Linked DNA regions of Callithrix jacchus. The protein of the gene in region 1 binds, or shares a complex with, the protein of each later gene. Links are inferred from orthologs where the notes say so. Each region holds a gene or a part of one and is shown in the gene's direction. Other genes may lie near its edges. The genes, in order: PIGF, PIGG and PIGO.

Evidence for each region.
Region 2: PIGF (region 1) and PIGG share a complex: the UniProt entries of both Homo sapiens proteins name them as parts of the ethanolamine phosphate transferase 2 complex. The link is inferred for Callithrix jacchus from reciprocal best matches to the Homo sapiens genes PIGF and PIGG.
Region 3: PIGF (region 1) and PIGO share a complex: the UniProt entries of both Homo sapiens proteins name them as parts of the ethanolamine phosphate transferase 3 complex. The link is inferred for Callithrix jacchus from reciprocal best matches to the Homo sapiens genes PIGF and PIGO.

Annotation. Positions count from the first base shown.
Region 1 is NC_133515.1:68,138,399-68,142,047, forward strand, and holds part of PIGF (GPI ethanolamine phosphate transferase, stabilizing subunit), read left to right. Parts: intron 1-955; coding exon 956-1,072; intron 1,073-3,649.
Region 2 is NC_133504.1:192,704,566-192,708,214, reverse strand, and holds part of PIGG (GPI ethanolamine phosphate transferase 2, catalytic subunit), read left to right. Parts: intron 1-2,076; coding exon 2,077-2,293; 3' UTR 2,294-3,649.
Region 3 is NC_133502.1:141,974,262-141,978,694, reverse strand, and holds the start of PIGO (GPI ethanolamine phosphate transferase 3, catalytic subunit), read left to right. Parts: upstream 1-1,502; 5' UTR 1,503-1,960; intron 1,961-2,551; 5' UTR 2,552-2,552; coding exon 2,553-3,063; intron 3,064-3,284; exon of another isoform or gene 3,285-3,718; intron 3,719-3,989; coding exon 3,990-4,133; intron 4,134-4,323; coding exon 4,324-4,433.

The DNA of each region.
Region 1 (3,649 bases):
CATATGTGTAGATTAGTTATAATTAGCATATCAAGTTCTTATACATGTGATTCTGAAGTACTTGAATGGAGTTTTTCTTAACAAAAGTCAATAGATTCCTGTATTCAAATACTTAATATGCCAGTATTTATAGTTTAAAGGTAAAATTTAACACTTTTTCTGAACTAATTTCAAATTAGTAGAAACCAAATTCATGAATGATTCTTACATAATGTTTATCATAGTTTGAGAAGCTTCAGTTTAGCAGTGATTAATGATCATGGTGAAATGAGTGATGAGATATATATACATATATACACATATATGTGTTGCTAAGTTTTATATATATATTTATACATAGTTTTACATATACACATTAAACTAACAGGTCATTGTGTTTTAGATGGGAGAGAACAAGAACTTTGTAATGGAAAAGGGTGGTTTCTGTCTAATCCATTTTAAAGTAGGATGAATGTATCTGGCACAGTAATTCTCAAAATGTGGTTTGCAAGCCAGCAGCATCAGCATTTTATCAAAATGCAAATACTCAAGCCTTCAGTCAGAAATTCTAGGGGTAGAGCCCCTTGATCTTTAGTTTATCCAGCTCTCCAGCTGGTTCCAATATATGTTAACACAGAACCACTAGTTGTAGAGAAAGTTCCAGAGACTATTGAGGAGAAAGCCAACTGTCTAGAAATGGATTTTGTTTGTTTTTGCAATGGAAGTCTCAGCATGGATCCTAGGGTCTTTAACACTTCTGAAATCTATGATTAAGGTCAAACATTTGCTAAATAGTTTTTTAAAGCTGCATGTTGGTAGTAAAATTATTTATAGTCATCATTTTGGTGGCACTCATGTTACATTTCAAAGGTAAAGCATAAGAAGATATTTTAAATTTTATTTATATAATAAAGATTATGTATGTGTATGTTTACCATTAACACTTAAAAAATTAACACATCTTTTTTTTTTCTAGGTTGGCATTGGAAACATTTTTATTTGCAGTTATTTTGTCTACTTTTACTACCGTACCTTGCTTATGTTTGTTAGGACCAAATCTCAAAGCATGGCTAAGAGTTTTCAGTAGAAATGGGTAAGTTTTAATTTTATATTATAATAATATTTGAAATTAAAAAAAATTAATGAAGTATTTATTTATTTGTCAGTTTGCTGATTATTTTCAGTGTTTCTCAGTGCTGATGGTGCTCAGAGTTACCTTAAGGGGTCACTGCAGTTGGACTGGGGACAGGGCAGGCAGAACGAGGAGCCCCTCCCGCCAGGTTAACAAGATCGGCTCTGCTTTTTTCTGTATAGTAGAATTCCACTTAGCCTTTTGTTTGTTTTTTTGTTAAAAATATATATTTTTTTTAATTTCTGCTACCAAAAGAAAGCTTTGAAAACTGTGGTTCTGGGATAATTTGGCACTGTGATAAAATTGCTGCGAATAAAATTTCTTACCTACATTTTATAATGTAGAAGTGGGGTCCACAATCTAAAAATGTGTAACAATGATAATTTCTTGTTTAGCCTTTTTCATGGTAAGAGAGAGCAAGTTTTATGGGATTTCATTTCCTTGGTAGGTCTGTATATGTTTTCAGCATGGTTAAGTTAAAACTTAAGTTTCTTGAAAGTCATTGAAATGATATGCACGAGAAACAGTGAAGCTCTAGCTAAGAAAGCCAGAAGGTTATTTGATTCTGTCCTATTTATCACCCAGCAGCAAAAACGTTTTCAGCACTTACTCTGTGCTCTGTGTTATGCTAAGCTGTGTGGATTCTGAAGTATAAGGAGGATTCTTTTGCTGAGGAGCTTATATATTCAAGGGATAAAAATGAAATGAACAAATAATATAGATTACAATTGTGTAAATTCAGCAATAAGTGCTGTAGGAACTTAGAGGTGAGAGAATTGCTTGTGAACCTGGGAGGCAGAGGTTGCAGTAAGCCGAGATCACACCACTGTACTCCAGCCTGGTCTACATAGTGAGACTTTGTCTCAAAAAGGAAAAAAAGGAATTAGTACTGTTTGTTCTCTCTTGGAAAGATCTTCTAATATTCATAAAGTCTGTAGAAAACAAAAGTTTAACAACTGAAAGCATTTTCTACATTGTTACCATAATTTCCCAAATGAAAATTAATTTCTTTTAAACTTTTAGTTTGAAATTTTTAAACAGTGAAATAGATTGAAATCTACTTCGGAGAGATCCAAGATGGCCAATCAGCAGCAGCTCAGGATTGTAGCTCCCAGTGAAAGCGCAGAGAGTGAGTGGATGCCACACTTCCAGACGAATTTTTGTTGCCCACGGACCAGGAGATTCCCAGCGGAGGACCCCACGGGTCACCAGTGCAACTCTTGTGGCCGGTGCGGCTGTTCTCAGTACGGAGTATATGGGACTGGGTGCCCCTTTAGTTGGTGTTTGGGGCTCCATTCAGCTGATTGAAATCACCCATTCAGCTGATTGAAACAGGGACTGAAGTGGGGAGCCAGACCGGGAGATCCTGGGCAGGAAAGTGCCACGAATCTCAACGCTGCTGTTTCAGCCGGTGCAATGGGTTGCTGCAGGGGAAATTACACAGATTCCGGCGGCTTTACAGCGGGCAACTGGAACACCTGGGAGAGAGTCGATTGTTCTACTTAAAAAAAAAAAAAAAAAAAGAAGAGGCTCTGAGACAGGGAGCCAGGTGATTGAGCTCGGCTGGTTCCACCCCCACAAAAAGCAACAGTTGGAAGCGCTGAAGATTGAGTTTCACAGCAAGCACAGCTGAACCCAGGAAGGTCCAGCTCTGTGGGGAAGGGGCGTCCGCCAAAGGAAAACTAAGAAACAGAAAAAACTTCTTCACCAGCAAGCTGGACATCCACTCAGAGACCCAATTTGAAAGTCAGCAATTACAAAGACTACAAGTGGGTAAATCCACAAAGATGGGAAGAAACCAGTGCAAAAAGGCTGAAAAGACCTGAAATCAGAATATCTCTCCTCCTACAGGGGATTGCAGCTCCTCATGAGCAGTGGAACAAGGCCTGATGGAGAATGAGTGTGATGAATTGTCAGAATCAGGCTTCAGAAGGTGGATAATAAGAAACTTCTGTGAGCTAAAAGAACATGTTCTAACCCAATGCAAAGAAACTAAGAACCTTGAGAAAAGGTTTGATGAAATGCTAACAAGAATAGACAATTTAGAGAGGAATATAAGTGAATTAATAGAGCTGGAAAACACAATATGAGAACTTTGCGAAGTATGCACAAATTTTAACAGTCGAATTGATCAAGCAGAAGAAAGGATGTTAGAGGTCGAAGACCAACTTAATGAAATAAAACGAGAAGACAAGATTAGAGGGAAAAGGCTAAAAAGGAATGAGCAAAGTCTCCAAGAAATGTGGGACTATGTGAAGAGACCTAATCTACATTTGATAGGTGTACCTGAATGTGACGAAGAGAATTAATTCAAGCTGGAAAATACTCTTCAGGATATTATTCAGGAAAACTTTCCCAACCTAGCAAGGCAGGACAATACTCAACTCCAGGTAATACAGAGAACACCACAAAGATATTCCTCAAGAAGAGCAACCCCAAGACACATAATCATTAGTTGAAATGAAGGGGAAAATACTAAGGGCAGCCAGAGAAAAAGGTCAGGTTACCCACAAAGGGAAGCCTATCAGACTCAGAGCA
Region 2 (3,649 bases), on another chromosome or scaffold:
CCAAGCCGCCGTCTTCTAGATGGGAAACGTTGAGAAGTCTGTTAGACTGAAGTCAAGGTGGTGCCGGGTCAAAGCCACAGCTTCCCATGTGCTGTCTGGGTAGGACGGGGCATACCCCAGATGCCCGTTTTTGCTTCCCAAGAGAGGGCAGTCACAGCCTTGGGACCCATGGGCTGTTTAGCCACAAAGCTTCCTGCTGAATGTTTGCCTTCCTGGGTGTTGCTGTCACCAGCGCGTGTCGAGGGCGCCTTGGGGTCCCCCTCCCTGTGGGGTCCCCGGCCTGTAGAGCTGGATACCAAGTGGTGACCAGTGGTATAGGTTCAGGGGACCCACCTAAGGAGCCTCAGTCTGGCAAGGAAAGCAGTGAAAGGAAACAGGCACTGGGGCCCCCACAGGGAGATCCTAGGCCTGTGTATTGGATTGGAACACGAGGCAGGCTGAGGGAAGGAGTGGCCCACTGAGGCCTGAGATGAGGAGCCGGTGAGGGGCTGCGGTGAGGCCATGGAGGGGGCAACCCGAGCTGCTCACCAGGGGGAGCATGAGGTTCCGGGCACCTGGACAGCCCTGTCCTTGGCCCTTTCCTGAGTAGTGAGCACTGAAGCAGGAGCCGTTTACAGGACGCCCTCAGGTAGCACCTGGTGGAGCTGCCAGGTTGACAGGACTGAGGAGCCTTTCACAGGACACGCAGTGGGGCCCACACACCCAGGCACACACACCTGCTGCCCTGCCTTAGAGCTTTTCCCACCCTAAGAGGAGCCCCTCGCTGCTTACCTCCTGTGTGAGGCTCTCACGGCATGAATGCCTCTGAACTGTCCACCGTGGTGGAAGCCCTCACGCCCCGCCCACATTGGACTATAGCCGCGCCGTAAGCATCTCTGCACACCGGCATGCTTGCAGGAGGGCCTGCGCCGTGAGCGGTGGAAGCCTTGCTTAGGGAGACCAGGCAGCAGCGAAGTGGGATGCAGAGAGACCGCAGGCAGATCCGCTCCACACTCACTGCAGCCTTTGAGAGGAGGCATCAAAGGCAGAACTTAGACCAGGATCCTGGAAGGCCTGGCTTCTGAGGGTCTGGGGGCCGCCCCACGGGCCCTTTCTAACAGGACTTGATCAGAGGCCATGGATGGGGCATGGAAATGGCCCAAATAGTGGAATTTATAATTTTGAAGTCATCACAGACTCATGAGAAGTCGCTTTGAGGAAGATATTTACGTGATGTATTGTGGACTGAAAAGCAGGGCAGTACATTGACATACTTCAGGGGGAGGCTCCTGTTCCGAGAATGCTGCCTTTCCCTGTGGATTTGCTCAGCAGATGCTGCTGGGCCAGGTTCCCTAGCCCAGCCTGGGCTGACTGACATGGCGCCCGCTGGACAGCAGAGCTCGTATTTTTGTTTATTTGTATCTTGCCCTTTTGTGATTTTCTATTCGTTGTTTATATTTTATAATGCATGTGATATAGTAGCACATAGATATATAATTTTAAAATAACTGCAAAGTCTAGGGGTGCGTTTTTCAGAGATGCTTTACGGACAACAGTGGCACTGCCAAGCAGTCGGGGCTGCAGCTCGTGTCCCCTTGGACGCTGCGGTGGATGGATACACAGACCTTTGCCCACCTCCAGGACCAGCCACATCCAGATTTCCGTGGGGAGGGGCTCCAGAGTGGCACTTCTAGCACACACCATAGGTGGTTTTTGCTTACAGTCAAGTTTTAGAAGCATTTCTGGAGAGCTCCACGTGTGTGTGTAGGACATGGTGGCCCTCACCCATCCTTCTGTTTAGTCTGCTTTATTTTTCTTGATGAGTTTGTCTCTTCCTGCCGTGTTACCTGTTTGCTCCTGCCTCCTTTACTGGAATGCAGCCTCCAAGGGGACAGCACAGGTTTTCTCGTCTCCAGGGCATCTGGAGAGGCACGTGTCCCAGCACCATAGTGACTGGATGTAAGTGTGGAAGACGGAGCACGGCGCCCTCTCGTCCCAGGGCAGGAACTACTGTAGTCTTTTTGAAAGCGAAAGTTTTGTTATACATGTGAACCGTAAGTGGCATGTGCTAATACATGTTTTCTTTCTCATTACCAGCAGCTCAGCACTGAGTCATGCTTGCTTCTGCTACGCGATGATTTGCTCTATTCCAGTTTCCACATATATCGTCTTGGTGACGTCTCTGCGCTATCATTTATTCATATGGAGTGTATTTTCTCCAAAGCTTCTCTATGAGGGGATGCATCTGCTCATTACAGCTGCTGTCTGTGTATTCTTCACAGCAATGGATCAAACCAGACTCACACAGTCTTAGACTAAGCTGAACACTGGAAAAATAATACATGCTTAAAGTCTGCTGTTATTCTAAGATGGAAGATGTGAATTCAACCAAGTTGATGAATAGCTGTAACTTCTTTGACTACTGTACCTGAATTTAGATTAAGTAGTAAATAGTTTAATAAGAGGTCACTTTAATACACAGTTTGTGTCATATTTCCCCTATTGGGAATCACTCAAAAAGCTTTTGGACTTTTAATTTCCTCTGAATAAGCTATAGTATGACCCAGATAGGTGTGTTTAAGTCAATGAATGAAAACGTCCTGGCCTTTGTTAGAGTCCAGGCGCTCTGGAAGGAGGCACCAGGATTATCTTAGGGATCCTACAAACCACTGAGGGCCCCAAGGAGCTTTGGTTTATGAGGGTTACACGTATCAGTGTCTATGGCATTTGAGATAAAAACTAAGATTTTAAAAATTAGTCATTTATAAAGAATCTATTGCATATTATTTTGTAACACTTTAAGGAAATTTAACTGTATTTTCCAAAACAAAAAAATTCAGTGAGACCCAGCACTTTGGGAGGCCAGAGTCAGGGGATCACTTCAGCCCAGGTGATTGAGATTGGCCTGGGCAACATAATGAGACCCTCAGATCTCCAAAAACTTCAAAAATTAGCTGGGCCTGATGGCACACCCCTGTGGTCCCAGCTACTCAGGTAGCTGAGAAAAGAGGATTGCTTCAGCCCAGAAGTTCACAGCTGTGGTGAGCCATGACTGAGCCATGATTGTACCAGTGCACTCCATCCTAGACAACAGAGTGAGACTCTGTCTTTAAAAAAAGAAACAAAAAACAAATGTGTAATGAGAAAAATGGTACTGTTGTACATGTTTGCAAACCTCTTAATGTCTGGCTTAATTGAAGGCAGCTGGATTCTGTGTTTGACCTGATGTGATATGTGTTAAAATACAAGAAGAAAATCGGCCAGGTACAGTGGCCGACACCTGTAATCCCAGCACTTTGGGAGGCTGAGGCAGGCGGATCACCTGAGGTCAGAAGTTCAAGACCAGCCTGACCAACATGGCGAAAACCTATCTCTACAAAAATACAAAAATTAGCTGAGCATGATGGTGGGTGCCTGTAATCCCTTCTGCTTGGGAGGCTGAGGCAGAATAATTGCTTGAACCAGGAGGCATAGGTTGCAGTGAGCGGAGACTGTGCCATTGTACTCCAGCCTGGGTGACAGAGTGAGACTCCCTCTCAAAATAAATTAATTAATTTAAAAAAATATGTATATATGAAGAAAATCTGTCTTCAGACAGATCAGTAGTTGGAAAGAGGAGAAATATTTTAATGTCCTTTTTCTGATCATTGTGGATTTTTTTTTCTTTTTT
Region 3 (4,433 bases), on another chromosome or scaffold:
GGAGTTCAAGATAGAATTCATACATCATACAATTATTTCATTTAAAATATAAATGTAGTAACTTTTAGTATATTCACAGAATTGTGCAACCACCACAAGTTTACAACTGTTTCAGATCCCCCCTCCACAATATTCCATTGTATAAATACACCATTTTTTTGTTTATCAATTTGTCAGTAATGGATATTTGGGCTTCCACATTTTGGCTGTTAGGAATAAGGCTATTTTATTTATTTATTTATTTGAGACAGGGTCTTACTCTGTCACCCAGGCTGGAGTGCAATGGTGAGATCACAGCTCACTGCAGCCTTGACCTCCCCAGGCTCAGGTAGTCTTCTCACCTTAGCCTCCTGAGTAGCTAGTACTACAGGCACATGCCACCACACCGGGGTAAATTTTGTGCTGGGATTACAGGTGTGATCCATTTCACCCAGCCATGAATAAGGCTACTATTAACATTCATGTACAAGTTTTTGTTTGGACATAAATATTAATTCCTCTTGGGTTTATACCTAGGGCTGAAATTGCTGGGTCATTTGATAATTATGTTAATAGTTTTGAATTATCTGTTTTTACAGTCCCACCAGCGGCCTATGAGGATTCTAATTTCTCCTCCTCATTGCCAACACTTGTTGACTACAGCCATCCTCATGTGTTCGAAGCAGTATCTCCAGCATTTCCTGATGGCTTCTTTCCATGTGTCTATTGGCTATTTTTATATCTTCTTTGTCCATTAATTTGATTTAATTTGATAATTTGTTTTTTTCCCCTCTTTGACTCTGTTTTTTTTTTTGAGACAAGATCTTGCTTTGTCGCCCAGGCTGCAGTGCAGTGGTTCAATCTCGGGTCACTGCAGCCTCTGATTCCCAGGGTCAACTGATTCTCCTGCCTCAGCCTCCCAAGTAGCTGGAATCTCAGGCGCCCGCTATCACGCCCAGCTAATTTTTGTATTTTCAGTAGAGACGCGGTTTCGCCATGTTGGCCAGTCTGGTCTCCAACTCCTGACCTTAGGTGATCCACCCACCTCGGCCTCCCAAAGTGCTGGGATTACAGGTGTGAGCCACCACGCCTGGCCGGCCTCCCCTCCTCTATTCCGAAGGATTATTTGCTTAATTATTCAGTTGTAAGATTCAGTTAGAGGCTTTGAGAGGAGGATTATTGAAATCTCAGTTGGACTCAGCTAAGCAAAAAGGGGAAAATAAGTATTATTTATCTCTACTTTACAGATGAGGTAATGCCTAATAATGACAATATGTGCGGCCGAGCTAGGATTCAAGTTAAGTTTGACTCCAGCAGCCATGCTCTTAGTCGTAACCATGAACGGACAGTGGTTTCCTGAACTGTTCCTCCAGCTTGGTCCCTCATCCCCAGTTCTCAATTACTAAATCTCCCATCAGACTCTGGCCAGCCCCACGCTCCTGGCCAAACTTCCACTGAGGTGCCGGCAGATGGCGATGGAGCCACCGGCGGGCCGCTCTGTCTGACGCGCGCACCTCTGTGGTGCCAGGCCGCAGGCGCTGCCACCGTCGCACTTCCGGGTGCCGTTGCAGGTGAGCCAGGGTCTCCCGAGAACCTCACCCCCCGTATTCCCCTCACCCTGAAATAAGGGAGTCTACCCTTTCCCCTCAGCTCCCAACCAAGGGTGCTCAGTACCGCAGCTAGGGTGCCCAGCGGGAGGCTGGGTAGCTACCAGAGGAGGCAGAGCTGGTTGGACGCCTGGGTCCCAGCGAGGCCCAACCGGCTCTTGACCCGCGCCCCTGCCTCGCTGCGTGGCGAAGATCGTGCCTCAGTTCTCCAAGCGAACCTGGCTGCCCGGAAGCGGGGCGTGACTCCTCCCCTTCGTCCCCTCGGTCCCCGCTAGGCGGCGCCGTCGGCTGGGCCCGGTTTCCCCTGAGGCTTGGATCCCTTTCCACCCTTGTGGGTATTGAGATTGGCGAGGGGAGAGGCGCAGAAACGGCCTGTAAGGAGCCTGGCTACCAATTGAAATAAGTTTCCCTCGTGACTGTGTGTTTTCAGCATTAGGATTTCCTGACTGTATATGTGAACATTCCTATGCTCCACCCCTCAAAGATCCTGATTCAGTAGATCTGGGGTGGGAACTGGAAATAGGTTTTATTTTGTTTTGAGACGGCGTCTTGCTCTGTTGTCCTGGCTGGAATGCAGTGGCGCCATCTCGGCTCACTGCAACATCTGCATCTCGGGTTCAAGCAGTTCTCCTGCCTCAGCCTCCTGAGTAGCTGGGACTACAGGTGCACACCACCACACCCAGCTAATTTTCGTATTTTTAGTAAGGACAGGGCTTCACCACGTTGGCCAGGCTGGTCTTGAACTCCTGACCTCAGGTGATCCACCCACCTCGGCCTCCCAAAGTGCTGGGATTACAGCCTGGAAATAGCAGGAGAGGAATACTGTGATGGGTTGGCTATGGGACGGTTTATCTCCAGGAAGGTTTACAGGAGGAAGTGATTCTAGCTGGGCTTGTATTCAGGAACCAGAATATCCACTGGTTATTTGCCCCATGGTAACGAATTTCCTTCCCCACCCCTATTAGGATGCAGAAAGCCTCAGTGCTGCTCTTCCTGGCCTGGGTCTGCTTCCTCTTCTACACCGGCATTACCCTCTTCACCAGTGGCTTCCTGCTCACCCGTTTGGAGCTCACCAACCATAGCAGCTGCCAAGAGCCTCCAGGCCCTGGGTCCCTGCCACCGGGGAGCCAAGGGAAACCTGGGGCCTGCTGGATGGCTTCCCGATTTTCACGGGTTGTGTTGGTGCTAATAGATGCTCTGCGATTTGACTTCGCCCAGCCCCAGCACTCACATGCACCTGGAGAGCCTCCTGTCTCCCTACCCTTCCTGGGCAAATTAAGCTCCTTGAAGAGGATCCTGGAGATTCAGCCCCACCATGCCCGGCTCTACCGATCTCAGGTTGACCCGCCTACCACCACCATGCAGCGCCTCAAGGCCCTCACCACTGGCTCACTGCCTACCTTTATTGATGCTGGTAGTAACTTCGCCAGCCACGCCATAGTGGAAGACAATCTCATTAAGCAGCTCACCAGTGCAGGTCAGTGTGGGCCACTTTGAAGGCCAGAAGTACGTTGTCAAATTTCCTCAGACCTTTGGATGCCCAGATGCACACTTGACTATGGTGTAGGGAGACAGAGGAGAAGAAGGAGGCCAGAGCCCTGCCTTTAGGGACCTCAGTTTGGGGGACAGAGGAGAAGGGATCTGGGCTTTGTTCTTTTTTTTTTTTTTTTGAGACGGAGTTTCGCTCTTGTTACCCAGGCTGGAGTCCAATGGCACGATCTCGGCTCACCGCAACCTCCGCCTCCTGGGATCAGGCAATTCTCCTGCCTCAGCCTCCTGAGTAGCTGGGATTACAGGCATGCGCTACCATGCCCAGCTAATTTTTTGTACTTTTAGTAGAGACAGGGTTTCACTTGTTGACCAGGATGGTCTCGATCTATTGACCTCATGATCCACCCACCTTGTCCTCCCAAAGTGCTGGGATTACAGGCTTGAGCCACCGCGCCCGGCCTATTCTTAAGAAGTTTCTCATCTGAATGGAGTGCAAGTTTTACTCTTGGAGACCTCTCAGTAAAAGGGAGAAGGGAAGAGAAGAGAAAAGATGTGGATCTTGGCTTGCAAGTGTGGAGAAGAAAGCAGAGAGATCCAGGCCCTCTTTACTCACTGACTTGTAAAAGGCAGGATACACCCAGGTAAAACAAATCTGTAGAGACACCCAGAGACATAACTAGCAGAGCGTTTTGTAGGAAAGATAAGTATGAGGTCTGTGTGTAGTATGGTTATCAGGGAAAGCTTCCTGGTGGAAAATGTTAGGCCCTGAAGGATAAGGATTGCTGTATGCAATTGCTGTGCTTTACGTTGCATGGTTGGGACTTCTGATGGGTCTTTAAATGGCCTCTTTTCCTCTTTTCTCCTGACCCTGACTCTTGTTCAGGCTCTGACCTCTCTTTCATGTCACTGCAGGAAGGCGTGTAGTCTTTATGGGAGATGATACCTGGAAAGACCTTTTCCCTGGAGCTTTCTCCAAAGCTTTCTTCTTCCCATCCTTCAATGTCAGAGACCTTGACACAGTGGACAATGGCATCCTGGAACACCTCTACCCCACCAGTGAGCATGAGGCCAGAACATTAGTTCTAAGACTGGGAGCTGGGGAAAACTGCTTTAGTCCACAAATTCTGAGCCTCCCATGTGTGTAACAGCCTGGGCTTGTATTCCTGGACATAGAGGAGTGTCAAAGGCTGGCTGGGGTTGAGGAGTGGGTCTTAGTCCTCTGTGCTCAGTGTTCTCTCCTTCATAGTGGACAGTGGTGAATGGGACGTGCTGATTGCTCACTTCCTGGGTGTGGACCACTGTGGCCATAAGCATGGCCCTCACCACCCTGAAATGGCCAAGAAACTTAGCCAGATG